Linked DNA regions of Pelodiscus sinensis. The protein of the gene in region 3 interacts with the protein of the main gene of each other region in a biochemical or structural test. Links are inferred from orthologs where the notes say so. Each region holds a gene or a part of one and is shown on either strand. Other genes may lie near its edges.

What was found.
Region 1: the proteins of PTPN6 (region 3) and LCP2 form a complex in vitro, tested with the Homo sapiens proteins (2 studies listed by BioGRID). The link is inferred for Pelodiscus sinensis from reciprocal best matches to the Homo sapiens genes PTPN6 and LCP2.
Region 2: the proteins of PTPN6 (region 3) and KIT form a complex in vitro, tested with the Homo sapiens proteins (2 studies listed by BioGRID). The link is inferred for Pelodiscus sinensis from reciprocal best matches to the Homo sapiens genes PTPN6 and KIT.
Region 4: of the proteins of PTPN6 (region 3) and ROS1, one has a biochemical effect on the other in vitro, tested with the Homo sapiens proteins (2 studies listed by BioGRID and IntAct). The link is inferred for Pelodiscus sinensis from reciprocal best matches to the Homo sapiens genes PTPN6 and ROS1.

What each region holds. Positions count from the first base shown.
Region 1 is NC_134727.1:6,090,952-6,097,941, forward strand, and holds the start of LCP2 (lymphocyte cytosolic protein 2), read left to right. Parts: upstream 1-3,990; 5' UTR 3,991-4,242; coding exon 4,243-4,320; intron 4,321-6,990. UniProt on the Homo sapiens protein: Adapter protein primarily involved in signaling pathways within T-cells, as well as other immune cells such as platelets, mast cells, and natural killer (NK) cells.
Region 2 is NC_134715.1:85,355,134-85,362,350, reverse strand, and holds the start of KIT (mast/stem cell growth factor receptor Kit), read left to right. Parts: upstream 1-4,199; 5' UTR 4,200-4,372; coding exon 4,373-4,445; intron 4,446-7,217. UniProt on the Homo sapiens protein: Tyrosine-protein kinase that acts as a cell-surface receptor for the cytokine KITLG/SCF and plays an essential role in the regulation of cell survival and proliferation, hematopoiesis, stem cell maintenance, gametogenesis, mast cell development, migration and function, and in melanogenesis.
Region 3 is NC_134711.1:138,130,725-138,137,986, reverse strand, and holds the start of PTPN6 (tyrosine-protein phosphatase non-receptor type 6), read left to right. Parts: upstream 1-4,256; 5' UTR 4,257-4,411; intron 4,412-4,612; 5' UTR 4,613-4,665; coding exon 4,666-4,679; intron 4,680-7,262. Other genes in the region: C1H12orf57 (protein C10), read left to right, coding at 706-760, 942-1,118, 1,423-1,571. UniProt on the Homo sapiens protein: Tyrosine phosphatase enzyme that plays important roles in controlling immune signaling pathways and fundamental physiological processes such as hematopoiesis.
Region 4 is NC_134713.1:83,887,393-83,895,203, reverse strand, and holds the start of ROS1 (proto-oncogene tyrosine-protein kinase ROS), read left to right. Parts: upstream 1-4,811; 5' UTR 4,812-5,019; coding exon 5,020-5,142; intron 5,143-7,811. UniProt on the Homo sapiens protein: Receptor tyrosine kinase (RTK) that plays a role in epithelial cell differentiation and regionalization of the proximal epididymal epithelium. NELL2 is an endogenous ligand for ROS1.

The DNA.
Region 1 (6,990 bases), on a different chromosome or scaffold from region 3:
TGGTCAAGGCTGCTCCGCAGAGTCATCCACCTTGCCGATGCTGACACGGTCATCGAGAGGTTTGGCGCCCTGGGCTTCCCCAACTGCAGGGGGGCTGTTGATGGGACACACATCCCCATCCATGCCCCGGAACACCAGGCCTCCCTCTACATCAGCCAGAAGGGATACATTTCCGTTATCCTGCAGGCTGTCTCTGACCACCTGGGCCACTTTATGGACACTGATGTGGGCTGGTCCGGCAGAGCACATGATGCGTGGGTCTACCTCAACTCCTCTGTGTGCCAGAGGCCACACACCGGAACTTTCTTCCCTGACCACCACATCAGGGTCGGAGATGTGGACATGCCTGTCTGCCTGGTGGGGGATGTGGCCTATTCCCTACAGTCCTGGCTTATGAAGCCCTACATGGGACACCTGAACCCTTCCCGACAGGCATTTAATGCCAGGCTCAGCAGGGCCCGTATCATAGTGGAGGGTGCCTTTGGCCAGCTGAAGGCCCATTTTAGATGCCTCCTCACCCTCCTGGACCTCTCAGAGTGGAATATTCTGCATGTGGTGGCAGCGTGCTGTGTGCTGCATAATTTGTGCAAGGGAAAGGGGGAGGCTTTCCTTCCAGCCTGGATGGCAGAGGCCGATCACTTGGCCAGCCTGTACATGCAGCCCCACATGGCTGCCATCTGGGAGGCCCATCAGGAGGCTGTCTGTATCTGGGAGGCCCTGCGGGAGAGCTTCTACCTGAATGAGCACTAAAAGACTCCCTGGTGTGCCCCACTGTGGGCTTGAGCCTCATTCCTCTCTCATGTCCTTCCATGGACCCGTCCTTAACCCACCTTCCTGCTGTACAGTAAAAGACACATGTATTCAAGAAAACAAACTCTCTTTATTGAACAAAACTGGGGTGGGGGGCATGAAACTCAGGTGAGACTGGGCAAAGAAGGTGGGAGAGGAGAAGCGAGAAGGGGAGGGGGAAATGTGGGAGGAGGGAGTTGGAAGGGGGAGACAAGGGGAGGAAGGGGAACTGCCCCCTGTGGCCCTGGCATATGCCTGCCGCAGCGCCTTAATTTTCATCCAGACCCGATCCTGGGTTTGGATGTGGCCTTTGGTGGCCAGGCTGGCAGCCATCCGGCTGTAGACGGCCGTGTTCCTCCATCTAGTGCAGAGATCATGGAGGTTGGAGGCATCCCCTCAAACCTCAGTCAGGTCCATGATCTCCGCACTGGACCAGGAAGGCGCCCACCTTTTCAGGCCCCTGGCAGGCTCCTGAGAGCTGGCAGACTGGTCCTGAGGAGTGGTGAAGAGATGGCTGCCAGTTGCTTGCTGGCTCATGTTTGGGCCACTGGGTCAGGGGCAGCAAATACTGGCTCTGGGCTGGCAGGCCAGGAGCTAGCACAGGCACTGTGGCCAGACTCTACCCCTTTAAGGGCTCCAGGGAGAAGGGGAGGAGAGGAGTTTTCCTGGTTGGGGCCAGAGTGGCCAGCAGCGACTCTGGGAAGGGCTGGAAGCCCCCTATTTTGAAATAGCCCCTTTTCCGTGTCCACACAGCGCTTATTTCGAAATAGCAATTTTGAAATTGACGCTATTCCTAGTAGAATGAGGTTTACCAAGTTCAAAATAAGCCCTCCGCTATTTTGAATTAATTTCAAAATAGCAGTTGGCTCGTGTAGACGGTAATACAGTTATTTCGAAATAACGGCTGGGATACCCTCTGGGAATTAGCTTTTTGATGCTGGAGTGCCCCCTTCTGGCTGGTGTCTCCCCATGTCTCTGCACTCTGGGGCCCCCTTCTGGCCAGTGTCTCCCTGTGTCTCTGCACTTTGAGGTCCTCCCCCCGGGAACCTCAACCCCCTATGCCCTCCTTCCCTCAGTGACTCACTGCCAGTCTTCATCTAGCCCCTTACCTCAGGGGCAAGCTGCAGTCTGATAATTGGCAAGGGGGGTGTGGACCTGCTGCCTTTGCCTGCCCTTTTCTGCTTACCTGCTTCTCTGCAGCCCTAGTACACTCAGGCCTTGCTACAGGCTCTGCCACCTGGAAGCTTGCCTGGCCAGAGCTCCCCACCTTGCTTGCCTTTCCCCAGCCCTGCACTAACTACAGCCCTAGTATCTTCAGGCCTTGTCTCAGGCCCTGTGGCTTGCGAGTGAGGTTCGGCCAGAGCTCCCCAGCTCTGCCTGCCTCTTCCCAGCCCTGCTCTGTCTCAGGAAGCCCCCAGCTTCCCTTGCAGCCAGGTCCCTCCTTCTCCCCAGCTGGAGCAAGAGTGTCTCTGTGTCCTCCCTCCAGGAGCCCTTATTTATACAGCCCCAGCTGGGCCCGAATTGGCTGCCATATGCTTCCGCTGCTTGCTCCACAGCTCCAGCCCTCTTCCAGGGCTGGGTTTTAGCCCTTAAATAACCAGTGCAGGCAGATGCCCCCTCACAACCTCCATAACTAAATTTGAGTTAAGGTTGCCAGATGGTCTCCCAAAAAATACCGGACAAGTGGTATTTTTTGGTCGAGCAAAAAAAAAAAAAAAAAAAAAGAGGAACAAGGGATAATAAGCCCTCCCTCCTCCCGTTCTGGGGCACCCAGAGAGGCAATCACAACCCTGCCTCCTAGCTGGGACTTCCAGGCTGGGAGGCGGGGCCACGATTGGCGCTGGAAGCCTGTGATTGCACAGAAGCCTTGTGGAGGACGGGGAGGGGCTGGGACTCCCAGCCATTCCCCCCGCCCCTGTCAGGCTTCTGTGCAATCACAGGCTCCCAGCGCCAATCGTGGCCCCGCCTTCTAGCCAACCCCCTGCCCATGCCAGGTTTCCGTCCAGTGCACATCCGGAAAATTCAGAGTATACCGGACGTTGCACATGCCCGGTATTCCCTGATGTTGTTTACTGGACAAAGAGTGCAAATACTGGACTATCCGGTAGAATACCAGACACCTGGCAACCCTAAGTTGAGTTCCTAGAGTTCCTACACACACAGTAATGGAAAACCTTTGCACTGTCCTCCAACTGTCCCCAGGAGAGACATCCTGTGCAAACCTTATGCCATATACGGGTCATAAATACAGAGCTGAGGACAGAAATGCCAGTCCCCTGGAAAAGGGAGTAGGGGCTCAACACAGGCATCTCCAGGAATGGGCAGGGTAGGGCCTTGGGTGGGAGGTGCAGACTGGTAGTTAGTCTCCCTCCATCGGCCCTTTTTGCGCTGCCCAGACTGCATGGTTTGGGATGCCGGCAGCCATTTAAAAGGGCCTGGAGCATTGCAATGGCAGGGAGCCTCAGAGGCCTTTTTAAATCACCAGCCCCCCCAGGGCAACTGCTCCCTTTGTCTGTCCCCCCCCAGCAAGCTGGAGTAAGCATATGAGAATGCCACACTGCTAATTATATGGAGATATACCTATGTCATAGAGCTAGAAGAGACCTTGGGAGGTCATCAAATTGAGTCCAGTGCTCAGCCCTCATGGCAGGACCAAGTGCCATCCCTGACAGACTTGCCCCAGACCCTGAAATGGCCCCCTCAGGGATTGACCTCACAACCCTGGGTTTAGCAGGTCAATGCTCAAACCTCTGAGCTATCCCTCCCCCAATTGCTAAAATTAGACCTGAGAATCAGAACAAGGATTCTGATGTGTGCATTGTAATATGTTCATATGATATACGTGTACGGGAGAGAGGGAATCAATGTGACATTTGAGGCCTTGAGTTGTGCTAAAGAAGGTTCCCTTAACTAGGCATTTTCTTGGTTTTCAAGGGATGGCACAAACTGAATCCAACCCCCACAGCCTTTTCTGGTGGTGGGAATATAGATGCACATGTGTACATTCCCACATAATTCTCCACAGCCAATGTACCAGTCTACTGGTATGGACATCTCATGAAAAAAACCCAACACGCTCCCCAGATTAAAGCATGCAAACTAGAGCTCATAAGGATTACAGTTATATTCAGTAGGCAGCATACTTCAAATGTGTTGCTGTGCTTCCTTGTTTACTTATTTAGATTCAGATAAAGGAAGTGGTGAGACTGAATCGCTGACAAGTTTTCTGAGAAGAGACCATTTTGTACTTAGAGGAAGCAGTTGCTCTCTTGGATATTGTTGCACCATAACTCAGAAATAAAAAGCAAGACGGTTTAACAAAAGCCTGGGGCATTTATTAGGCAAGTGGATTGTTGAATTTACTGGAGGTAGCCACAGGCTGGAAATCTATGGCTCTCTCATTAATACTCCTGGCATGAAAATTCTGTAGCTGATTAGGAAAGAAGAACAGAAATGGATTTACAAAACCTTCCCTATCGCTCAATGGTGATTGCTTGGAGCCCAGATGACCTGGCAGACTACTTCAAGAAAGTAAGTTGTGTTGTGTTTTGTCCTAGTATGGAGGAGTAGCAAGGTGCTTTAACACTTCTGTGCTCTTGCTCCCTCTTCCCCCCACAAAAAACTTTTTACCCTAAGAGCCGAATTTGCTACATACATCATATAAAATCATCTTTTTTGAATAATCATGGCAGATGCACTTCAGAAAGTCATTATACCTGCCCTGGTTTAATGAAGTCCTTAATGAATCCTGAAAAATGTATTCTAAATTAATAGCAAGAGAAATCAATTGTTTCTTGGGAAAAAAAAATGCTATAATCTTTGGTACCAATGCCTTGCTATGTTACATTCAGTTTGGATCCGTAAAAGTTAAGAGTTAAGGAAGCTAAACATAGTAAACCTATTTTTTAAGGTAGGAAAGTTTTATATGCAGATCTCATAAGGCCTCTCCAATGAAATTATTCCTATGACTTTCATAATTAAAGACCCTCACTAATGAAGATGCACACATGAACTCTGCTCTGGACTGAATTGCTTTCCTAATTAGCATTACAAAGGCTTGTTATGTGACAGGGCTTGGTTTAAAATCGATAGTGTTTAGCAGAGGTGACATTCTCAATCTACGGGTCGCTCCAGACGTTCCAATCTTTTGAACAAGGATGTCAGAGCAAAAGAGCTGCTGAACCTGGTTAGGTGGACACACAAAAGAGTTTGTTGGCATCTGGACTGGGGTTTTTAGAAGGGAGTTGGGTGCCCAGATTCAAGGAGAGTTGATCTGAGTCATGGACAGCCGTCCTTTTGAAGTGAGGTGATGAACTAAGACTCCCATGCTAGCTGGAAAATGAGACCTGGAAGCGATTTTGTCTGGTTGAGCTCACACAAACAATGCAGAACACTTCCTTGTGATGTTGTAGTTGGGTGAGGAGGACAGGAACTGTGCCTAAGGAAAATGATTCCTTTGTAGCATAGGGGGAGAAATGAGAAACATTCTTTCCTCCAAAATAAATAGAATACATAGAATATTATCCCTTCCCGAGCTCAATGCAGCTGCTTTTATTTGTAGATTGCCTGTGTTGATATTTTGTCTTTGAAATTGAAAGCCTTTACCAATAATAATATCCATAGCGATAATCATAATTCTTTGGAGAGGCAGGTTTCAATAAAAAGAGATTCTGCTACCCACTGCCTCTTCCTGCCTCAGGATCCCCACTGACCTTCCTCCACATCTCAGAAAGATCCCTCATCTCATTTCCTCATCTGTTCTGTTCTGCTGAGGTGGTTGGGCTTCTGACACTTCCCCCCTTCTCTATCTATAGCTTTTCCTCAAATGCACTAGCCTGGATATTGCTGGTTCTTTTAACTTTCACTTTGCAGAGCAGAGGATTTTGCACGCCGAGGTGTGGAGGGGCATTTAAAATGGCGTATTGGGGTGCATTTGTAGGAGCATTGCCAGCAGAGCTAGAGAAGTGATTATTCCCCTTTATTCCACACTGGTGAAGCCACATCTGGAGTATTGTGTTCAGTTCTGGGCCCCACTACAGAAAGGATGTGGATGCATTGGAGAGAGTCCAGTGGAGGCAACAAAAGGGATTCTGGGGCTGGAGCACATGACCTATGAGGAGAGGCTGAGGGATTTGGGTTTATTTAATCTACAGAAAAGAAGAATGGGGGGAATTTGATACAGGGCTGGCCTTATCATGAGGCAAACTGAGGCGGCCGCCTCAGGTTCCAGACTGTGTGTGTGTGGGGAGGGCGGTGCCACTAGGACTCAGAGTGTAGAAGGGGGTGTCACTAGGACCCAGAGTGTAGAAAATTGTCTCTGCTGCCGATGCATATGTAGATAGCAGAGCAGTCCCATGAGAGAAGTAGAACAGGAAGAAGGCAGAATTGAGACCTTTCAAAGTTTTGGCCCACGCGAGGGGACAAGGAGGTGTTATTTGAGCTCCCCGTCTCAAGTGCCAAAATGTTGTGGGCCAGCCCTGATTTGATAGCAGCCTTCAACTACCTGAAGGGAGTGGGTCCAAAGAGGCTGGAGAGAGGCTGTTCTCAGTGGTGACAGATGACAGAACAACGAGCAACAGTGTCAAGTTGCAGTGGGGGAGGTCTAGGTTGGATCTTAGGAAGAACTATTTCCCTAGGAAGATGGTGAAATACTGGAATAGGCTACCTACTGAGGTGGTGGAATCTCCATCCCTAGAGGTTTTTAAGTTCTGGTTTGACAAAGCCCTGGCTAGGATGATTGAGTTGGGATTGGTCTTACTTTGGGCAGGGGGCTGGACTCAATGACCTCCTGAGGTCTCTTGCAACCCTGGGATTCTATGATTCTAAAAGAATAGGCAAAACTCAGTGCTGATTTGCTCCCTGGTATCTCACTGATGCTAGGAAAACTGCATAGGCTATAGGTAAATGTTGAGTTTGGTCCATTTTTACAGCATCTTAAATATATTCAGTTGTACATTCATTTTCCATCATTTCCCCCAGATTTTAATAGTCATCTACACTTACTTGTGTTACCATGCTGACTATAGTGCATGTTCACAACAAATTCCAAAACCTTCATTACAGTGCAGAAAGGTCAATCCAAAAGGTTTGTGAAGACTTTCGCACCATTTCAGCAACCCAGTTTCAAGTGGATATGATCAACCGGGGACAGTTTATTATTTGGTATTGAAACCATGCAAAATTCATGGTTTCAATCGCTTT
Region 2 (7,217 bases), on a different chromosome or scaffold from region 3:
CCCTGTTCAGGGTCCACTTAATGTGGACATGCTAGTTCGAATTAGCAAAATGCTAATTCGAACTAGTTTTTAGTTCTAGACGCGTTAGTTCGAATTAGCTTAGTTCGAATTAGCGCTGTAGTGTAGACGTACCCTTATTCTTGTGATGTACGTCAGATCAATCAAAAGTTTTATTATTTTATTGAAGTTTATATGCAGATAGAAATGTCCTCTCCCAAAAATGTAATTTAAAGAAAATACCGGAGGAGTTGACTTAGTCTCCCTGGGTATGTCTACACTACAAAGTTAATTCGAACTAACGAACGTTAATTCGAATTAACTTTGATAGGTGCTACACTAGCGCTCCGCTAGTTCAAACTTAATTCGAACTAGCGGAGCGCTTAGTTCGAACTAGGTAAACCTCATTGTACGAGGACTAAGCCTAGTTCGAATTAAGGGGTGTGTAGCCCCTTAATTTGAACTAGTGGGAGGTTAGCCCTCCCCAGCTTTCCCTGGTGGCCACTCTGGCCAATACCGGGGAAACTCTATTGCCCCACTCCGAGCCCCGGAACCCTTAAAGGGGCACGGGCTGGCTACGGTGCCCGTGCCAGGTGCAAGCCTGCCAGCACCCAGCCAGCAGTCCCTGCACTTGGCACGGCTTGAGCCAGCCACCCGATGTCCCCCAGGCCTCCCCCTCTTCCCGGGACCAGGCTGGCGGCTCCCGGGACCTTCCCCAGGACCGCAAGAGTCGGGCACCCGCCTGGTCCAGTGTAGACATCGTGGACCTCGTCCATGACCTCCGCACTAGGCACAGGAAAGCGGCCGTCTAGGGCAGGAGAGCTGCCAGCCTGGCCACCCAGGAGCAGGTTTGCATGCAAATCAAGGTGGTCCACTGAGACCCCCCGACCCTGAGCCTTGAGCTTAGAATGGCCGTACTGGGTCAAATCAAAGGTCCATCTAGCCCAGTAGCCTGTCTGCTGACAGCAGCCAACCCTAGGGATCCTGGAGGGGATGGACCAAAGACAGTGACCAAGCCATTTGTCTCGTGCCATCCATCTCCAGCCTTCCACAAACTTCGGGCAGGAACACCACTCCTACCCCCTGGCTAATACCACTCCATGGACCCAACCTCCATGACTTGATCTAACTTCTCTTTAAACTCTGTTCTAGTTCTATCCTTCACAGCCTCCTGCAGCAAGGAGTTCCACAGGTTGACTATTTGCTTTGTGAAGAACAACTTTCTGTTATAGGTTTGAAGCCTGCTACCCATTCATTTCATTTGGTGTCCCCTAGTCCTTCTATTATGGGAACTAATGAAGAACTTTTCTGTATGCACCCTCTCCACCCCACTCATGCTTTTATAGACCTCTATCATATCCCCCCTCCATCTCCTCTTTTCTAAGCTGAAAAGTCCCAGTCTCTTTAGCCTCTCTTCATATGAGACCTGTTCCAAACCCCTCATCATTGTAGTTGCCCTCCCCTCTCCCACCCTCTCTCCTCCCCTCTCCCACCTCCTTTTCCCAGTCTCCCCCAGGTTTGTTCAATAAAGAAAGATTCTATTTTTGAACACAATTGTCCTTTATTTTGTACATCAGGAAGGGGGGCTAGGGAGGAATAAGTGGAAGGAGATAAGGGAGGAATGGGGTACGAGCCCCCAATGGGGAGGACTGGGCTGGCTCTGTGGGCTTCTGGGGGTGGAACCTCTCCTGCAGCCCCCCAATTGCCCTCTTTCCCCAGATGGCAGCCTGCGGCAAGTGCAGCCGGTCTGATGGCCAAGTGGTGTGATGTGCCCAGTGTGGGTACTCCGGGCAATCCAAGCCCGGACTGCTTTGCAAGCGGGGCACTCCTGAGAACTGTCTGTCCGAGGTGGGGGTCGGGTCCCTTTAATCACAGCCCTCGGCTCGCCTGAGACAGCAGCTCCACGCTCTAAGTCCTCATCTGATGCCCTGCCGGCACTGCTTCCGGCCATCCTTAACCCCGGTTCAGGGTCCACTCTGTGTGGACATGCTAGTTCGAATTAGCAAAACGCTAATTCGAACTAGTTTTTTAGTCTGGATGCATTAGTTCGAATTAGCTTAGTTCGAACTAAGTTTGAATTAGCGCCGTAGTGTAGACATACCCACATAGATTTAATCATCTTTGTAATTACTTATTTAGATTTGTAGACATGCAAAACATTTGGTCTGGAAGAAATCCCAGTAGGATTTTTCATGACCTGTAACAGAACCTGTATCCAGAACAGGATGTAAAGGTCTGACTTGATCTCCAGCAAGAAGTTAATTCTTTACTCAGACCTGACACAGAATGGAAGGAAGTAGCAGGGCTAGTGTTTGAAGGCCCCAATCAGTCACGGAGGAAATGATACAAAAATACACCTAGAAGAGGCAGAATGCTTTTTGAAGGCAGAGTTCCACAATCACTGTTCACAAGACTGAGCTGTAAATAAGATGGGTTGTTTCTCTATATTTTCTTGTTATGCTAAGCTATATTGGTCTTTATACACAGTATCCTCAGGAATGAAAAAACCTTGGGGAAGAATAACTTTTTTGCAAATATTTTCAAATTCACTGCACTGGGTTACTAACTGAAATGTCTTACTACAACCTTGAAGAGGATTTCCATGCTCAGAGGTAACAAAGGGGAAAGTTACAGTACCCTGCAGTTTGTAAGAACTAATCTATTTTCTTAATATAGATTGCAGACTATAAACTCACAAAGGTTTTATCAAGAAGTTTAGAACCTTTATTTTCTGCTTAAGAGTCCACTGAAAAGACAATTTTTATAATAGAGTATCATGTATGTAATAACACAAGACATATCTTTAAGAATAGGATATAGTTTTTATAGATCCAGTAAAGACTGTATCTATGCACTTGACATCTGATGCTGGAAAACTCTTTAAGGACTAAAATGGCAATATCGCTTTAAGATTATAGGGACAAATGAATTTAAATATGCATTTTATAGATTAGATATATAAGGAGTCTGAGACACCCTCTTCCTCAGTTGGAGTGAATAGACATAAATTGAAAATATTTTGCTATTAAAATGCCCTCCAAAATTAGTTTTGAGGTTGACTCCTGGTGAAAAATGTGATTTTAAAGAATGCTATTTGATTTTTTAAATATAATATTATTCAGTTTCCAGCTATCTACCAATAGAGACCAGTGTTCTAAGATGAAAGTAGAGAAATTGAGACAGCCATTTTATACATACAAGACAAAGACAAGACTTTGATCTAAAGACTGTCCTGCCCAGATGGGAGGTTAGAAGGAATGACAGTTTTAGAAGGAAAAAAAGAAAAGAAAATGAATAACTTATTTTCAATAACTCTTCTGATCTTTACTGACACACTTGAAAGTAAGCTCACATTGATTCTAAAAACTTAACCTGTCTCCCTCAATACATGCGGATGCATAATAAACAATATTTTAGGGGTTTCAATTCTCTTTAGCTTTTTGACAGTTTTCCTTCACACGGCCCAATTGTGTCTTTTCTCTCTCTGGATGTCTAACAACATAAAAAAGTTATTTCCGCATGGGAGTGCCTTATAGAAATGAGTAGGATGTTGTCTGGGTTATCTGGTGCTGAGTGGAATTTCAGTGCTGTTAAACGTGTCTGTTTATGTATACACATGATCTGTTCGCCAGCGTGTGTGTGTACGTGTGTCTATACCTTTGGGCAAGGATTCTCCCCTCCCCTTTTTTTCACGGCTGTAGAGATATTTGATCCCATTGTATGGCTCAGGTTCTTTCTGAAGGGAAAGAGGCTTTGTTTAGCTGTAGCTCTGCTTGTTAAGGAATGAGTTCCCCCTCCAGAGCCCAGTCCTGCCCAGCGCTCCCTGCAGGGTGCAGGCTAACCCTGGTGTGGAGAAGCCCCATTACCTACACAGAGGCTACACGCAGGATTGATGCCGATTCCATAACCATATCCCAGTGGCCCTCCGTTTAGCGAGTGTCGGGGCTGGAAGCTGTGACCAAGCTGCCGGCTGGTCGCTTCTCAGTGCAGCGCAGCGCCCCGCCGCTGGCTTTAGGCGGGCTCCCGGGCTGCTCCCCGCGCTCCGCAGCGTCCGAGAGCTCGTCCTGATAACGTGTGAGGCCCCTCTGGCTGACACCCGGCGTCACGCGACACCGAGTGTCCGACCCGCCCCCCCCCCCCCCAGCCCCCTCGGGCAGTGGCTCAAAGGGAGGGGCCCGGCGGGAACTGGATGAGCCTGACTGGGGGAGCCCAGCCGAGACGCCCGAGCGAGCAGCGGCCCGGGCCGGGGGGGCGTGGCTGGAGGAGGAGCAGGTTGGCGGTGGCGCTGCGCTCCCTCCACCACTGCCGAGGCTGCCGCTGCCGCGGTGTCTGAGCGCTCCGGAGGCTCGTGGCAGCGCCGGGCGCGAGGAGCAGCATGGAAGGGTCCTGCCTGGCCTGGGAGCTGGCGGGCGCCGTGCTGCTGCCGCTGCTGCTGGGCTTTCCAACAGGTGGGGCTGTGCCGCGCGGGGGCTCCGCGCTCCTCCGCCTGCTTCGTGCGCGGGGGGGACGGTGCATCCAGGAACCGGGGAGGGAAGGGGCAGCACGCACCGGCTTCTCCGCTCCCTGCGCGGGGCTGGCAGCGCGGCCGGTGTGGAGGAGTTTGGGGATAAAGGCAACTCCTAATGCACCTCCGCCTGGGCCGAACTGAACAGCCAGTAGCCGGCGGAAAACACGTCAAGCCGGCTCCCTCCTTCCAGCACCTGTGCGCCTCTCTGCCGAGGCAGAGGAGAGTGGCGGCCTTGCCTATCCCCCCCCCCCCCCGGTAAAGACACCCCAGCTGTGTTTAGTGTGAAAACTCTGGCTGCAAACAGTCGGAACAGCGGGTCGCACGGAGGGGCAGGTTCCTCCCGCTATTCCGAAGTCCCTCCCGCTCCCGGGGGCTGGGGCTTTGGCTTTGTTGCGCTGCGGTGAGTGCTGCTGCCCTGCGTTTCAGTTGCAGGAACTTTGCGAAGCTTTGCTTAGTTTGGCCCGCCAATGAGTCGCTTGAGCGCGAGTTTTGGAGACGCGTGAGCAGTGCTTTCTGCTGGCAGAGTTGCATTGGTTTTGGAGGGGCAGCAGGGTAGCCTGAGAGCTACCGAAGTGTCTCATTGGGGGACTGACCAGGGAGTCAAAATAATCATTGCTGTTGAGCCAGTGGAATCCGCATTTTTGTTCATATTCCCCATTCGAGGTCTGGCTGCGCGCCCCGGTAGAGGTGCTGCCCATAGTCAGGGAAAAGGGGCGGTAGTTAATCCAGATTTGTTCCGAGAACTGTTATCTGCCGGGGAGAGGGGTTTTGCATCTGATTACTGTTTTGTCAGTAAAACTATCTCTCCATCAGTACAAAACGTCCCTGTGGTTAGATTGCTGTTAACCGAAATAGTAACGAGAAATGCTTCCAAGAGCCGCAGTCCGGTGTAGCCCCAGTGGCGAAGTTGTAAGTAAAGTATAGCAGACCTTTTCGTGCGGTCGCTGATTTCCATCTTTTTTTCTCCCATTTAACTGCTCTCCGGAATGAACCGTTTCATGGCTGAATTTAGTAGCGCATCTCCTAGTCAAAGTGGTTTTGCGTTTTGTTAGTCTTGTGCGAGGCAAGTTTTTCATCTGTTCTTTCCCAGTAAGAAAACCTACCAAACCCTCTTTTGAAGGAGGTTGTTCTTGTACCGGGCTTGTGGATTTTTAGGTCCTTTCACCCATGCCATACAGGACTGTCCTAAAGAACTGAATTGATGGTAATTGAACCAATGGGGCAGCACCAATGCATGTTTATCATGCCATTGTCATGCTAATATATTGCCCTTTTATTTGGACAAGTCACTCCGACTTGGCATTTAGCAATTCCTGTCACCTTCATTCATGCTAAATTTTACCCTATTCTGCAGGTAGTCCAGCTGAAGTACACGGGGGTAATTTGTAGCGGAAGGAATGTAGTCAATTCCGAAAAGGTTGCAAAATCAGTCTCAGCTAGCATATGTGTGAAACCTGAGCAGTTGCCATCATCTGGATTTAAATTGTATAGAAGGTCAGACAGTGTCAAACCCAAGTCAAATTACCGATGTCATCTGTCAGTGCAGTAACTGCAATATGTCAGGCTGACAGAGATGAGATTTCCCCATCAAAATATTTAATCAAAAACATGTAGGAGAGAAGCTATCAAATATTCTCAGAGACACAAATTCATCCCTAGGATAACTAATGGTTTATAGGAGTTGCACCAGGGATGAATACAGTTCACCATTTGTATGAGCACTGGAAACCTGACAATATAAAAAAGCTAATGGTGGAGGAAAGCAGTGGATGGTGACAAAACATGAGTGGTGATGGAACTCAGTTCTAACAATTTTTTAAAGAAGTGGTCTTGCAAATAACCCTCTCTGGCCCAGCGATTCTTTAATTTGTCCACAATGGAATGAGATAGAGAGACAGACAGACTGACTCTGTAGACATGGATAGTGCACTAGGAGTGGCAGTCTCTCTCATGCCGTTCACTGAATTTTACAGTTATTTAGCCACAATGGAAAAGCTTCAGCAGGACCGAGTAAGAGAGATTTTCCTATAGCTCAGTGGTTAGGGCACTTAGTAGCAGACTGCTTCCCCTGGAAAACTTGAACCATGAGTCTGCCATATCCCAAGTGAGTACTCTAACCACTGGGCTAAAAATTATGAGAGGGTTGTCCTCTTGCTGCCCTTTTACCCTCAGGCTACTTAAAAAAATGGCATAGGTGCCTGACACCAAGAGAGGGGTAGTAGCTGAGGGCTTGTCTACACTAGGAATGTTAAAATATGTGTGTGTGTTTTGGTAAACATGTAACTTCTGAAATGTTCAGTGGCTACACAATAACACATGTGGGGCGGGAGAGACAGTTTCATGGGAGCCAGCTTAAAAATCAGCTCCCTATGCATGCTGACTCCTGCCTGCCCCCTACACTGCTGCCTCTGTATCAGAGGCAGCAATGTGGAAGGCAGGTAGGCATCTCTCTGGCTGTCAGTGTTGGCTCCCTGCGAGCGCTGGCTCCTGCCTGCTCCCCCTACCAATCAATGTTGCTGTCTTTGTATCAGAGGCAGCAGTGTGTGTGGGGGGGCGGAGGGCATGGCAGCAGCACGGGAGGGAGCTTATGTGTAACCCTGAAGGTTAACTGATGAGCCTAGGCTCATTGGTTAATGTACACAATCATATCCCTAGTCTACACTTACAGTGCTGTCGCTGCACTTGTGCAGGCTGCTATGCTGCTGAAGCACTT
Region 3 (7,262 bases):
CCCCCAACTCAGTGCTAGCCAGTACAGCGCGTAAACAAACGCCGCAGGCAGGGCACTGCTGTGCACTCGCCGGGCGCCTCTATCACTCTCCTGCCTAGTGCAAGCTGCCCTGAGAGCACGTGCCCCGCCCCGCGCCGGGCTTTTTTCCACCGGCCCCGCCGCCACTGTCGTAAGGGGGCGTGGCCTTTGCGTTTTTACACCAATAGGAAATCACCTCATCTGCATAGCGCTAATTTGTTCAATACACGCTCCTTTGCGGGGCTCACAGCACGTGGCATGTGGTTTTGGGGGCCGGTGCTTTGGGGGGGGGGCTGTGCAGAGTCCGCAGGAGCTCTACACGCCCTTGCTTGGAAGTCACCCTGAGCGAGCGCGCACTGGCAGCCGCTGGGGGCCCGCGCTCGGGCTCCTCTCCGCAGTGATTTCAGCTCTTTTAGTATTTGTCTAGCAGGCTCTCTGCGCTGCCAGGGAGCCTCACTCCGCGGTGAATGTCAGACTGGGGCCGCTCGCGCTCTGCTGGGTGTGGGCGGCGGGGAGCGATGGGGGCTCCCGGGCTGCACCCCCAGCGCGAGATGCCTCCCGCCCACAGGCCCGGCAGCGCAGCCGCGCGGCCCCTGTCCCGCCCCGTCTGCTGCGGCCCCTCCCGGCCCCCTGACGTCAGCGGCGCCGGCTCGCGCCCGCGGTCCCGGCTGGCGCCTGCAGCGCCTCATGGCTGCCCCGGCCCCCGCCGCGCCGGGCTCGCTGAGCGCCGAGCAGGCCAAAGGTGAGGGCGGGTAGGAGCCCCCGCGCGCCCCGACTTGCGCCCCCCCCCCCGCAAATCGCGACTTGCACTGCAGAGCGGGGAAGGCGGGTCCCGGCCCAGCGGCCCCGCGCCCCATTGCCCTCGCAGCGCGCTGCACCCGGGGCGGGCTGGGCGGGGCTCACTGCTCTGCCTGTCTCCCCAGTGGCGCTGGCCGAGGTCATCAAGGCCTTCGGCTCCCCGGAGAACGCGCAGCGCATGGAGGAGGCCCGGGACAACGCCTGCAACGACATGGGCAAGATGCTGCAGTTCCTGCTGCCCGTGGCCACCCAGATCCAGCAGGACGTGATCAAAGCCTACGGCTTCAGCAGCGATGGGGAAGGTGGGTTCGCCGGGCCGGGGCAGAGCCGGGCTGCGGTGGTTTCCCTTTCCGGCCTTTGTGTCGGAGGCTCCCGCCGAGGGCAGGCAGCACAAAGCGGTGTGGGCCCGGGGAAAGGGCAGTGCAAGCAGCACTTTAGTGCAGCCGTTGGACCCACATGTGCAGTATTCTCCACCTGCAGCTCCTTTGTCTGGCCACAGGATGGTATCCTTGGAAAACCTACCGGGGGGGGGGGGGGTACTGGGGAATACTGTCACCAGCTAGATCTCTTCCCAGCAGTTTTCTTCCTTCCCCTTCTTTCTCTTAGGTGTCCTGAAATTTGCCCGACTGATAAAATCTTATGAGTCCCAGGATCCTGAGATTGCAAACATGTCTGGGAAGCTAAAAGCCATGTTCCTGCCTCCAATGACACTGCCCCCACACGGGGCTGGGACAGGGGGTGTGCCTGTCTCCTGAAAACCGGGACCCTCTGCTGGCCTTCTTGGGCCAAGTCATGCCACACTACATGCCTGTGAGAGTTTTTGACAAGTGGGATTCCAGGACTGCTCTCCACCACTCATCAGTGTGCTACAGTTTGCCAGAAGAGCCCCCTACTTCTTGGAAACTCTGCAGCAATTGGTTTCTTTGTGCATCTTTGTTTTTTGAGCTTGTGAATAAAAGCTGCTTTGAAAATGTCCCCATGTGTTTCTCAGTGAGTGTGTACCCAGTCTGGATCTTAGCGCTGCTTCCTGGGAAAGAGAGCACGCCCCACTGAATGTAAGGTAGAAGGGAGCTCTGGTTACCTCTCCCCTCCCCCTTATTGGTAATCCCCTAATCTGTGTAGTTCTGCCTTCAGGAGATAAGTACCTTGCATGAGCTAAATTTAAGGAAATCAAGATGTGTGGTATGGGGAATCGCAATCTTAGGCCTGGAAGCAGAAGGCTTGAAACCAATTGACACTTTCTAAACCTCCAACCTTGTAAATCCTACAGGGAGTGCTGTAGGCCAGGACATAAGGCAGCAGAGTGAAGGGGGCTCAGGACTGGAACATCAGGCATTTGGGGTGGGGCTCCGTGTATCTCTCAACCTGTCAAGGCTCCATTGTTCAATGCAATGGCTGGGTCTAGTTTAGAAAAGTAGATTGTGTTTAAAAATATTGCAGCAGGCACTTCTTCACTAACACATTTTTACACAGTAGTTTAGGCGTGTTTAACATAGTTAGAGGGATCTTAGGGTTTACCACCGCAAGCTTACGTGTTTTAAAAGGTGTCAAACTCTGTCTTCTTAAAAGATAACATTTAACAATGCATTGTTCAAAACATATTTGCTAAGGTATTTGTAAATACAATTTAGTCTTCTAGTCCAGGCAAGGTTAGACAAACAATATGTGACAAAGACCCCAAATAAGGGGAACAATAACATATTGATGCAGGAAATTTAAGAAGTTTCACAATTATTGAGCATGAAGGTCTTTATAATTCAGGGTTGGTCTACAGTAGAAAATAAGATTGATCTAGCTATGTTGCTCAGGGATGTAACGCCCTTAACTGACTTGGTTAAGCTAACCCAAGTCCCTGTGCAGGCAGCACTAGATTGATGGAAGAATTCTTCCATCACCCTACGTAATGCCTCTCAGGGAGGTGGATTTTCTGCAGTAATGACAGAATCCCCCCATTGCTGGTAAGGGTCTACCCCAGTAAGGGGCAACCTGGGCTGGTGAGTGGGCCGCATGAGAGATCCTCCTTCATCTCAGTGGGTCACAAAATTGTCCTAACCAAGACAGTCTCCCAGGATAGAGTTGTTTTGCAAACTGCACTAATGTAACTAGAATTTGTGGGGTGTGCCGATTGAACCACAGCAGTGCTTTGGCTGGATGCAGAGAGCGTGCACAGCTCTGTCAGTGTTGTCATGTGCAGTCAGCAGACGCCTCATGTCATGTGCCCTTGCTTTTCATGCGTGTCACTTTAGTAATACGAGTAGGGAAAAAGTGTGGACGAAAACCAGCAGAATCTCAATCCTGTGTGTGGGCAACAGTAAACAAAATGGCTCATGGGCCATGCACAGAATTCCAAAGGGCCTCAAGTTGTTCACAACTGGTCTGCACTGACCCAGGACAATAGCATTTTAAATGCAGACCTCCAGGTTGTCTTCAGGGGCTGATAAAAGGGACCTGTGGTAGGAGTAATCTGTAATATTTTATGTGTAGACATAGCTTCAACTTCATGATTCTGCATTTCTGGTGTAATCACTTTTTAAAAATAAAAGGGGGCACTAAATTTGTAGGGGATGTAGGTATTCTGGGATTTGAGTGACACTGGCAGGGCTGTTTGGGGAGCTGGATTAGCAGGGGGCTGCAGGGCAGGGCTGAGGGGCACTGGCAGGGCTGTGAGGGGAGCCCAGGGCTGGAATAGCAGGGACTGCAGGGCAGGGCTGAGGGGCACTGGCAGGGCTGTGAGGGGAACCCGGGGCTGCAGGGCAGGGCTGAGGGGCACTGGCAGGGCTGTGAGGGGAGCCCAGGACTGGAATAGCAGGGGGCTGCAGGGCAGGACTGAGGGGCACTGGCAGGGCTGTGAGGGGAGCCCAGGGCTGGAATAGCAGGGGGCTGCAGGGCAGGGCTGAGGGGCACTGGCAGGGCTGTGAGGGGAGCCCAGGACTGGAATAGCAGGGGGCTGCAGGGCAGGACTGAGAGGCACTGGCAGGGCTGTGAGGGGAGCCCAGGACTGGAATAGCAGGGGGCTGCAGGGCAGGACTGAGGGGCACTGGCGGGGCTGTGAGGGAAGCCCAGGGCTGGAATAGCAGGGGGCTGCAGGGCAGGGCTGAGGGGCACTGGCAGGGCTGTGAGGGGAGCCCGTGGCTGGAATAGCAGGGGGCTGCAGGGCAGGGCTGAGGGGCACTAGCAAGGCTGTGTGCGGAGCCTAGGATTGGAAGGGCCAGGAGCTGTGGCTCAGGTGGCTATTTCCAGATGACAGAGGAGTTTAATTTGTTTTTATCCTCTGTGATACTGTTAGTTCTCCAGGGAGGCTGAAGGTTTGGTGGGGAGGAGGCAGGGAGAACAGGCAGTGCCTACCTTGCTCACCTGCTCTCCTGCCCATGTGTCTCCTCCCCCACCCGCCTATTTATTTATTAACTACCGCTCAGGGAGAGATTTGCAAGTGGTGATCTGGGAAGCCCTTTGTACTGGGCCTGGTTGCCTCAGCTCAGGCTTCCTCATCTCTCTGCTCCAGCTCACCCTCAACTATTGTGACCATGTGAGGGAGGAAGTATTAGGGCTGGAGAGTAAGCGGCATTCAGAGCCTTACTGAATGGATTAGATGCAGGTGAGTCGGGAATCTTACTAGCCGTGATCTAGGTCCAGTTACCTTTTTGTTCCTGGCTCTATGAAATTAGCTATGCTTTCCCTCTGGGTGCTACATCCACCCCCATGCCTGAGTCTGTAATGAGCTTCAGTCCTGGGCCCCTCTCTCAGGAAATTCTTCCTGTTTCCTTGGTATCAGCAGCATTGTTTGTCTCCTTTTCAGTAGGGTCCTTGGGCTGAGGGTTCTCAGCGAGGATCCCTGTGACCAGGGGCCTGATGCCATCCTGTGGGTGAGTGTATTTCTCCAAGGGGTTTCTTGGCTGTAGGGTTTGTGATGGGAGAAAGAGCTGGGAAGTGAGAGGCAGATGTGGGGAAAGCAGCAATGGAGAGGGTGGGCAAGGGGGCTATAGGAGAGATGGGGGTCAGTACTGCTCACCCTAGCAAAAGTAAAGCTCGTTTGTTCCAAGGCACAGATGGGAAGGGACTGGCCCTTGTCCTAAAGCAAATCAAAGACAAAGCCATAATTTTGCCAGAGGCCAGGCCTCTCCCCACTTTAATTCACTGGCCCTGCTCCTCCTCTGGAAATGGAGCCCAGGAGTTTGGGCACTCGCCAGACATATTTGCTGTGCAGACTTCAGCAGACAGCACTGCAGGAAAGCACCTTCAGAAAGCTTCCTCTACAGCCAAGAGGGCTGGCAGCTGAATTGTTTAGAAACAGCTGCTGAAATTCTGTAATCTGCAGAAGGGTGTGGGTTCCACAGTGTCACGAATCATGGGGTCCCCTCCACATGGCTCCCAGGCTGACTTCTAAACCAGGATCAGTACCGCAAGAAATTAAAGTGCTGTAGAACTGTCAGAAGGGAATGAGGAGCCTTAATGAAGTCTCCTCTCCCTAGCTGCTCCCATGCCCATGGTACAGGAACACTGAGGCATAGCTCCAGTGCTGTCTTCCTGGCTGTCTTCCACTAATGTCCTTTCTCATCTGGAGGAAGGTCCAGGCAGAGTATGAACATAGGTAGCAATTGCCAGATCTGGTCTGTCCAGTTCAGTCTCCTGTCTCTGACAGTGGCCACAGTCAGCTGTGTTGGATGAAGGTGCAGAAAACCCCTTAGTTTATTGTTCAATAATGTGTTTCCACGAGGGGTTTCTTTCTTATCCATCTTGGTTCCTGGGTTATGATCAGAAGCAGGAGACATTCTATCCTTCTGTTTTCTCTGATCAAAAGTAAGTGTGAGGGTTCTGGTCATTCATATAACGTTCAGTCCTTTTATGAATCCTGCTATGCTCATCAAGCGGGGAACGAGGGGGCAGTTGCCCCCGGGCGCAATGCTAGAGGGTGCCAATTTAGTCCCCCTCTGTTCCCCCTGTCGTCCCTCAGCTCTCCTGCTCCTCCTCTGCCCACCGCCATTGGTTGGAGCCTCCTCTCCACCCCTAGCCTCACCTTCCTCCATGTCTGCCGATGGGTTAGTGTGTCTAGGGGCCTGGCCCCAGACGAGGGCACAGGGGAAAACACGGTACAAGCTCCCCCCCCGCCCAGGGTCGGGCTCAGTTGTGCACCTGATTTGGGGCCCCGCCGGGCAGAGGGGTGTGTGGGGTAATTTTGCTTTTGCCCCCGGGCACACAGCACCCTCACTCATGGGGTCAGAGAGACAAGGTGAGTGAGGTAATATGTGTTACTGGACTAGTTTCTGTTGGAGATAGAAGCAAACTTTTGAGCTGCTTTGCCAGAAGAGGAAACCTAAATGAAGTGCCAATTAGCATTTTCTCATGCTTCATTTGTGTAATCTCTTCCCATCCATTTTTGCACAAGAGGTTTTTGCACAAAAACATGCAGTGTGGACGGGGAGAGGCATAAGGATCTTGTGCAAAAAGGGTGTTTTGTGCAAAAAGGAAACGTCCACGCTGCATGTTTTTGCGCAAAAACCTCTTGCACAAAAACGGATTGGAAGAGATTACACAAATGAAGCACAAGAAAATGCTAATCAGCGCTTAATTTACATTGCCTCTTCTGGCAAAGTGCATAGTGTAGACGTAGCCCCAGTGTATACAGTGCTAGATCCACAGGAGAATTCTCCTGTCAACCCAGCCACTGCTTTTCTGGGAGATGGAATACGTATGCTGAGAAGAGAACTACAACCCGCTAACATAGGTAGCGTCTTTCTTCACTAAAGTGCTACAGTGGCAAAGTGACATGACTCAGAATTAAAGACTAGACAAGACCTAGAGAGAGAGATTTACTACACTGACAGAAAAACCCCTTCTGCCACTGTAGAATTTTCCCGGTGAGTGCTCCCATGGGGTTGGGCCTGTTGACGGAAGTGGCCACTGCAGCGGTGCTGGCAGTGTAGACATGGACTTTTTTTCATCGATGTAGATTAGCGGTTCCCAACCTTTTCCAGAGGGGGACCCATTCCGACAATTCAGGAAGACTTGGTGACCCAGGGCAATTCACAAAAAGTCTCCTGGGGAGACACCTGGTGACCCTTTTGAAATGTAATGGTGACCCATAGGTTGGGAAACCCTGATGTAGATAATAGGCAATTTGGGGCAGAGGCTGTACCTGTGTCTGATATGAACGTGTTGCCTAGCGCACTGCACTCCCAGTCTCTAGTCGCTGCCATACTGCTGCTGTGCCAGGTCTCTTTCTTGTCTCCTCTTACCTGTTACTTCTCTGAGCAGTCCCAGTCTTTTCAGACGTGAGAGAGTAGCTAGAGCAGAGCGCAGCATTGCAAGTGAGGGCAATCCCACTGATTGGCGTGACAGCACTGGGATAGGACCAGTATTTTTCTCCAGTCCATTGGGCTGTATCTTATAGCTTTGCTTCATGCTTTGATGGCTTCTGCCCACTAAGCAGAGGTTTTCATTGAGCCTCC
Region 4 (7,811 bases), on a different chromosome or scaffold from region 3:
AAAAGGCTCACATCTCTGGCTTCCTAACAACTCATTAGAGGCTGAGGGAGCTGCAAGCCCTTTTAAGTACTTTTATTTAAAGGTCTTTCCAGCACCTGGCAGGCAACCCTAGCTACTTGGGGAACACAAGAGTCCTTTAAAGAGAAACAGCTGAAAGGGCTTGCAGCTCCCCATGCCTCTAGCACATTGCCTGAGACGCAGGTTCCCTTTGAGCTGTTTCTGTTTAAAGGTCTCTCCTGTTCCCCTGGGCTCCCCATGGCGCTAGAGCATTGCCAGACTGAGAGCCCTTTCAGCTGTTTCTATTTAAAGGGCTTGTGCCTCCCCTACAGTTGCTAGACAAGGCGTGGGGAAGACAGGAGCCCTTTAAACAGAAGCAGTTTGAAGGGCTCATGCCCCTCTCCTGTTCCGAGGCAACAAGCTAGGGGGCAGGGCCGGAAAGTGCCTTGCGGGCTGGTTCCAGCCTGCTGAGAGACTTTTGCCCACCCCTGACCTAATATCATAGGGCACAGGACTGGGACCGGGACTCCTAGGTGCCACCACAATACAAATTATTAATAATTTATTAGTATATAAGAATCACCTCAGATAAGCAAATCTAAATATATTCTGGTCTTATCTTTTTTTATGGACTTAGACGCAACTGGCCACCTGTAGACTATATCCTGAGGGCAGGGGTGTGTATAGAATTTGACTGCTTTTGTACGGGCAGGTTCTGGGCCCCTGCCAAAGCCCCAGAGGAGTTTGTGTTCCCAACGCAGCCCTGGGGCCAGAGGAGTTCTATGTGCTTGCCGATTACTGGCAGGACCCATGACTCTGCTTGCATTGGGCCTCCCCTCACTTTGTCCATGGCCCTGCTTGAGGTACCTCATGAAAGGTACCTCAGCACTGCGGTATATTGAAAACTATATTAAAACTACAAGATGTACCCAGTGTTGCTTGAGTCCTTAACTCATTTTTGTTTTTTTGAAAATGAAATGAAAACGTACCTACAGGCAGTCCCCGGGTTACGTACAAGATAGGGACTGTAGGTTTGTTCTTAAGTTGAATCTGTATGTAAGTCGGAACTGGTGTCCAGATTCAGCCGCTGCTGAAACTGATCAGTTTCAACAGCGGCTGAATCTGGACGCCAGTTCTGACTTACATACAGATTCAACTTACGAACCCCAGGCATCCCCAAGTCAGCTGCTGCTCAAACTGATCAGCGGCTGATTCCAGGAAGCCAAGGGGCAGGGGCTTCCTGTAGTCAGCCACTGGTCAGTTTCAGCAGCGGCTGACTTGGGGACTCCTGGGGCAGAGCAGCTGGGGTGCTGCCGGGTTGGTCCAGTAGCGCCAAGGAATGGTGCTGCGGGACCAACCGGCAGCGCCCCACCTGCTCTACCACAGGCCCGGGGCTCTGCTCCACGTCTCCCTGGTCTGCTGGGGGGGGGCACTAGCTGCGCCCCCCCCAGCAGACCAGGGACACGGGGAGCAAAGCCGCAGCGGCGGCGGGGTGCCGCGCCTCTGAGGCTTTGCTCTGGCAAAGCCTCAGAGGCGCGGGACCCTCCGCCTCCCGGCTTTGCTCCAGGTGTCCCTGGTCTACTGGAGACGGTCCCCAGCAGACCAGAGGCACCGAGAGCAAAGCGGCAGCGGCGGTGGGGTGCCGCGCCTCTGAGGCTTTGCTCTGGCAAAGCCTCAGAGGCGCGGGACTCCACCGCCGCTGCTGCTGCCGCTTTGCTTCCGGTGCCTCTGGTCTGCTGGGGACCGTCTCCAGCAGACTAGGGACACTGGGAGCAAAGCCGCAGCGGCGGCAGAGTCCCGCGCCTCCCCTGCTTTGCCAGAGCAAAGCCTCAGAGGCGTGGGACCCCTCCGCCTCCTCGGCTTTGCTCCAGGTGTCCCTGGTCTCTGGAGATGGTCCCCAGCAGACCAGGGGCACCCGGAGCAGCTTTTCTCGCCCCAGAGGTCGAGGTGGTGAGACCGCTGCGCTCTGGGCGGTCCCGCTGCCTGCGAGCTCCGGGGCGAGAGATCCCCGTTCGTAAGTGCGGATCCGACTTAAGTCGGATCCGCGTAACTCGGGGACTGCCTGTACTACATTTAAATCATTGCTCTGGGGTCGGGCTAGGGTTGAGGGGTTACCCCTGGGACAGAGGACTACCCCAGTCCTCTCTCACTGCAGCAGCTTGGAGCCAGGTGAGAAGCACCTCTCCATGGCTGCTGCAGCTGTAGCAGGAACAGCCATGGAAGGTGTGCATGTCCCTCAGCTGGGGCAGGTCCAAGTTCATCTGCCCCCTGCATTCCTCAGCCAGAGTGAGGAATGCAGCAAACTGCACTTTCCCCTTGCTAGCTGACAAAGAGGAACAGCCTGCAATGTTCCCATTCAAATGGTGGGGGTGAGCTTTAGGCCCCCTGCCCAGCTGATAGGTGCCTAGGAGGTGGGAGGTTCAGAGCTGGGGCAGTTCCAGAGGGAGGTAGGGGGTGGTGCAGCCAATCCTTTTCTCCTGCCTGGTGATTCTGTTTCTTTTCTGTGTGGTTTTATGAGAAGCAATCCCATTCCTGGCACAACCAAACCCTTATATTCCTTTAAGTTATGATAAGAGGAAGCTGCATACCAAATTTGCTGGTTCTCACTATTACCATTTAGGAGGAGTTCTTCACAGGCACATGAACAAACAGACACAAACTTTCTCAAATATATACAGGTTGGATCTCTCTTATCTGGCACCCTTAGAACCAGACTGATCCCGGATGAGGAGTTTACCAGACAATGGGAGGTCCCCTGACACCAGCCCCTCAGCCTGCTGCCCCTCCCTGCTGCCAGCTCCTTTAGTCAGGCTGGGCTGTCTGCAGGCCAGCCCCAGCTCCAGCTCCGCTGCTAGCTCACCAGGCAGCTACAGCCGCACTGCTGAACAGCATGTTGCCTTGGGTTGCTGCAGCCCCAGTCCCGCTTGGAGTGGCACCTGGCCAGCATCCCCTCTCGGGCTGCTGCAGCCACAGTCCTGGCCCTGCTGCCAGGTGGCAGGCAACCCCCATCACACTGCTGCTATCACCACTGCCACCTCCCAGGCTGACATGGCCCGGCCAGGCTTCCCCTCCTGGGCTGCTGTGGTCCCGGCCCTTCTGCTGGGCAGCAGACAATCCTGATTACACTCTGCCTAGGCTGCTGCAGCCCCACTACTAGAAAACTCCTGGGGCTATACTGGGCTCCCAGCTGCTGGCCCTCCTGCCCCAGGGAGCTCTCATCCAGGAACAACTGTGGTCATGCTGGACCACGGATGTTGCCGGATGAGAGAATCCCGGATTTGGGAGATGCAACCTGTAGTAGATTATAAACTATCACTCTAGATGCAAGACAGGGGGCTCTGCAGAGAAGTGTGTGTGATGTGGTCCTACCAGGAGCAGTCAGTCTGCAAAGAGCAGCAAAGAGCTTGGTCAGGGAACTTGCTTTTCTCTAGGAAGCTTTGAGTCTCTCTATTTTGGGGTTTTTGCATATGTGGCTTCTGCAGTCAAACAGTAAAGCAGGGCTGTATTTCAAGCCCCCGGCAGAGTATTTTATACTTTATATCTAACTTCTTGGTGTGTATATGGCAAACGTAACAATCAACAGCTTGACCAATGCTGAGGACTTTGAAGCGGCACGAGAGGATTGCAGAGCTGCTCCAGGGTCAGGCTGGGAGGAGCTGCGGAAGGGAAGGAGTGAGCTGTGTTCCACAAAGGGCTTCACTTGGCACATTCAGATACTTGGTTTCTTTTTAAATTGAATATTTTGGCCCTGATTTTGGTCTGAGCATCACCAGTCTTCTCTGGTGTCGTGGACACAAAGTTACAAATACAATTACACCAATTTAGGTGCTTGACTAACAGATTGTGCTTGATTATTTTCAAATTAATTAATGTCTACACAGATGATATTGCAGGGATAATGAATTGCATATGGAGTTTTATACCCTACAGTTACTGGAGGTCATTTTAGAAAATAGAACTTTCTACATTTTAATGTCTGTTGATCTCCCTTAGAATGTTTTAAAGCAAGCTACTCAGGAAAGGTTTGTGTCTTTGGGCTTGTCCACATATAGGCTTGTGTCAGTTTAATTCAACTGGTTTAGTTAATTCTGGATAAATCCCTGTGTGGCTAAGCCTATATTTATCTGGGTTAAATTAAATATTTCAGTTTAGTTTATATATGTCCTAATATATTTAAGAGAGACCAAAATAAGGCACTTTCTAATGGAAATAAGTGTCCATTCAGCCTTTTGCAACAGTACATAATCACAGCTTAAGTTAAACTGGTGAAACTCGGCGGATAGACAAGCCCTTTGTATGTGTTTGCAAAGTACCTAGCAAAATGTTTGGTGAGGCTTCCTTTTGCTACCAAATATAGATATTTTAAAAACAGTGATAATTACAACATCAATACTTTTAAAATTTAATTGGATCAGTAGACAATCTATTGTCATTACATGCACAACCCAACCAAACTTTTCAACACAGATGAGTTTTGGGTTTATATGTGACATCATGTATCATATTTGGAAACAGTTATTGAAAATAGTCTTAGCTATCATGGTCGTGCTGGCCAGTGTGGATTATTTGTTAAAGATGTTTTAAGTCATTCTTCACAACCCCAGTGAGCACAGCTGTGTTACCTCAAGCCATTTTTAAAAACAGTGCTTAAAAATGGTTTTTCTCATAAGAGAAAATATAAACAGGGCTCCTCTTTCTCTCTCTTATGTTCTTCCGCTTTCATCATAATACATTGATAAGATCACTTCACGTAGTTTTTCTTTTCACTTCAGTGATAAGGAGTCATGCGACCTTTTGGTCGGCACCTTTGTCTGAGTGGTTTAATAAGAAACTATTGAATAGATGTTGCACAATTTCAAGTAATCCAGGAAGCCCCAAAGTCATAGAATGGATGGATTATAAAGAAGGATTTTACTAACATTGAAATGCAGTTTTCTATCTGGCATCTAGAATCCAAGGAATCTGTAAGACTTGAAACAAGAAAAGTAGAAGACTGCCTGAGGAAAAGAAGTAGCTCAAGTTATGAGGAACATTAATTTGTGGAAGCCTAAGCTACTCACTCTTCTTTCTGTTTACTGCCTATGGATTTCTACAGTACATTGTACTTTCTTGATTAACTGTCAGAATTTATGTACAAGTGGCCTGGTAAGTTTTGTAAAAACTATTCTTAACTTTTAGTTATATGATGGTTGTTACCACAGTTAACTATTTCTAATGAAAACTGCTTTTTTTGAAATTGTGTGTAAAGACTTATGTGGACAAAACGGTGGTCTAAAATGATGTTTTAAAAATTGAGTTTGCAGTGGAGAAGGATATTGTACTTATTAAAGGGAAACCCCAGTTAATCATACCCCATTTGAATTTTATTTCTCTTTTGTTACAATGACATCAGATTATTATAACTTGAGAAGACTACAGGAAAAAATAACAGCTACTTATTTTAGTTTTTTTTTTATTGATTGTCTAATGTACACCTTTTACTGTAAAATTAGCTAGCCGGTAGACCTTCTAAGTGGATGGGTCTTTCGCACAGCAACATGGAAGAATAAAACATTTTAAAAATTGGAAAATGTAATTGTAAACATCACAGCAATTGGCAGGGGACTCTAAAACTTTCAAATTGTTGGTGTCTCTTTAAGTAGGAGAGTGGGTTGTTGTATCTTTAATCTTATGTTTTCATAGTGTTCCTTTGGGTAGTGAAGTGGAATTTATTTGTTTTCCTTCTGTTGATGCATAAAGATGATAAGCCCAGTTGCTTACTGAAAACTGATCAATAATTATGCTTCAAATTTTATTGTTATTTGGCTTGTAGTATGTCAATAGATCTTGTCTAGAAGACCATGTTCTTGTGCTCTGTAGAAGTGACTGTGTGTGTTTTCTGGCTAATTAGCTCTGTCAGTAATACTGAAAAACATACTGATTATGGACATGAAATGTACAAGATGGATGTACCAGGTACACAGTCTTATTAAAATGTCCAATCTTTAAAACCTGTTCCAGATGCATACAAGAACCCTGGAAGCAGTGAAAGGATTACTCATCTTTCTTGCAACAGGCTTAAGATGTAGTAGTATCCCTAACAAGGATTCTTTGATTCATAGGCTCTGATTTCTCTGTCTGCCAGGGGGTACTTGATTCCCCACTTCAGGCCCTGCCCACACTCCTTCCATTCCCCCAAACCCTTACCCTGCTTCTTCCCAACCCTGCTCCACCTCCACTCTGCCTCCTCCTCCAAGCATGCCCAGTACCTGCTCCTTCCCCTCCCTCCTGGAGCTTGACCATCAGGAAGCAGTGAGAGGGAGGAGTGGATGAGCACAGGGCTGCTAGTGTGCAAGAGGTGCAAGGGGGAGAGGAGGGCAGGAGAGGAGCTTGCGCTGGTCGGTGCTATGCACCCATTAATTTTTCCCTGAGGCTGTCCAGCCCCAGAGCACCCACAGAGTTGGTGCCTATGATTCACTCTTCATAGTAACTTCAAAAGCCAAACATTTGACATCCATATTCAATATGTAACTTTGGGTATGTCTACACTAGCTCGTTAATTCTAGCTAGGTAGGCAAATTAGGCGACCAGAGTTGTAAATGAAGCCCAGGATTTAAATATCCCGGGCTTTATTTGCATGTTACAGTCCGGTCACCATTTTGAAATTTCACTAACCCGAACTCACTGCTGCGTGTCTACACGCGGCAGTGAAACGTTAATTCGAACTAAGTCCTTAGTTTGAATTAACTGTTACTCCTCGTGGAATATTTCAATCCCGGGCTTCATTGGCAACTCCAGTCGCCTCATTTGCCTACCTAGCTCGAATTAATGAGCTACTGTAGACATACCCTTAGAAATATTATGACAGAGACCGAAATGAGAAAAAGCCATCCTCGAAGCAGTTCAACGCTTCCATTTCCCCTCAGTCCAAAGGTAACCTGTGTGACCACACCTGCTGTGGCACTGATTTGCATCAGGCAGAGGTTCTTAACCATTGCCACACTATATACCTTTTATTCTGCAAATTCTAATGCATGTTCAACTTTTCTTATGAGAGTAGCACCATGCTTAGGGGTCAGCACATGTCATAAGTGTTTGTAAGATCACAGCCCATGACCCCACATTGAGCTACTCAAGGCTGGTTTGAGCCATTCCACAATCAATTACACTTCTAAAAGGTTGCCTGATCTTGTACACTTCCACCATGGTGCTCTGGGAATAGGAACCATAGATCTGAAGCACTTTTCATACCAGAAGAGAATCAGTTTTCACATGGCCAGATACAGCCATTTCAGGAGGAAGCCAGAGGAAAAGCATTTAATTTAAAGAAACAAAATCTGAAATGTGCACTTTGAAAGTCATACTCTGTTGGACTTGTGCCATTTGTGCCCCAGGTTTGTTTTTTATGCCTTTATTATTGGCTCAGTAAATCTGAATAAATTGGAGAGGGCTCAGAGAAGAACCATAGGAATGATTAAAGGACTGGAAAATGTGCTTTATAGGAGCTCAATCTATGTAGCTTAGCAAAGAGAAGGTTAATCACAGTCTATAAATATTGACACAGGGAATAGGAATTTGATAGTGGAATCCTTAGTTTAGCAGACAACGGTATAGCAAGACCCAGTAGCTAAAAGTTGAAGATAGGCCAATTCAGACTGAAAATAAGGCATAAAAAAGGTTAAGAGTGAAGGTATTTAACGAGAAATAGCTGTGTTAGTCTGATCTTGGTAAAACAAAACAAAAAAACCAGTCATGTAGCACTTTAAAGATTAACAGGATGGTTTATTATGGTCTGCCCCGCCTAATAAACCATCTTGTTAGTCTTTAAAGTGCTA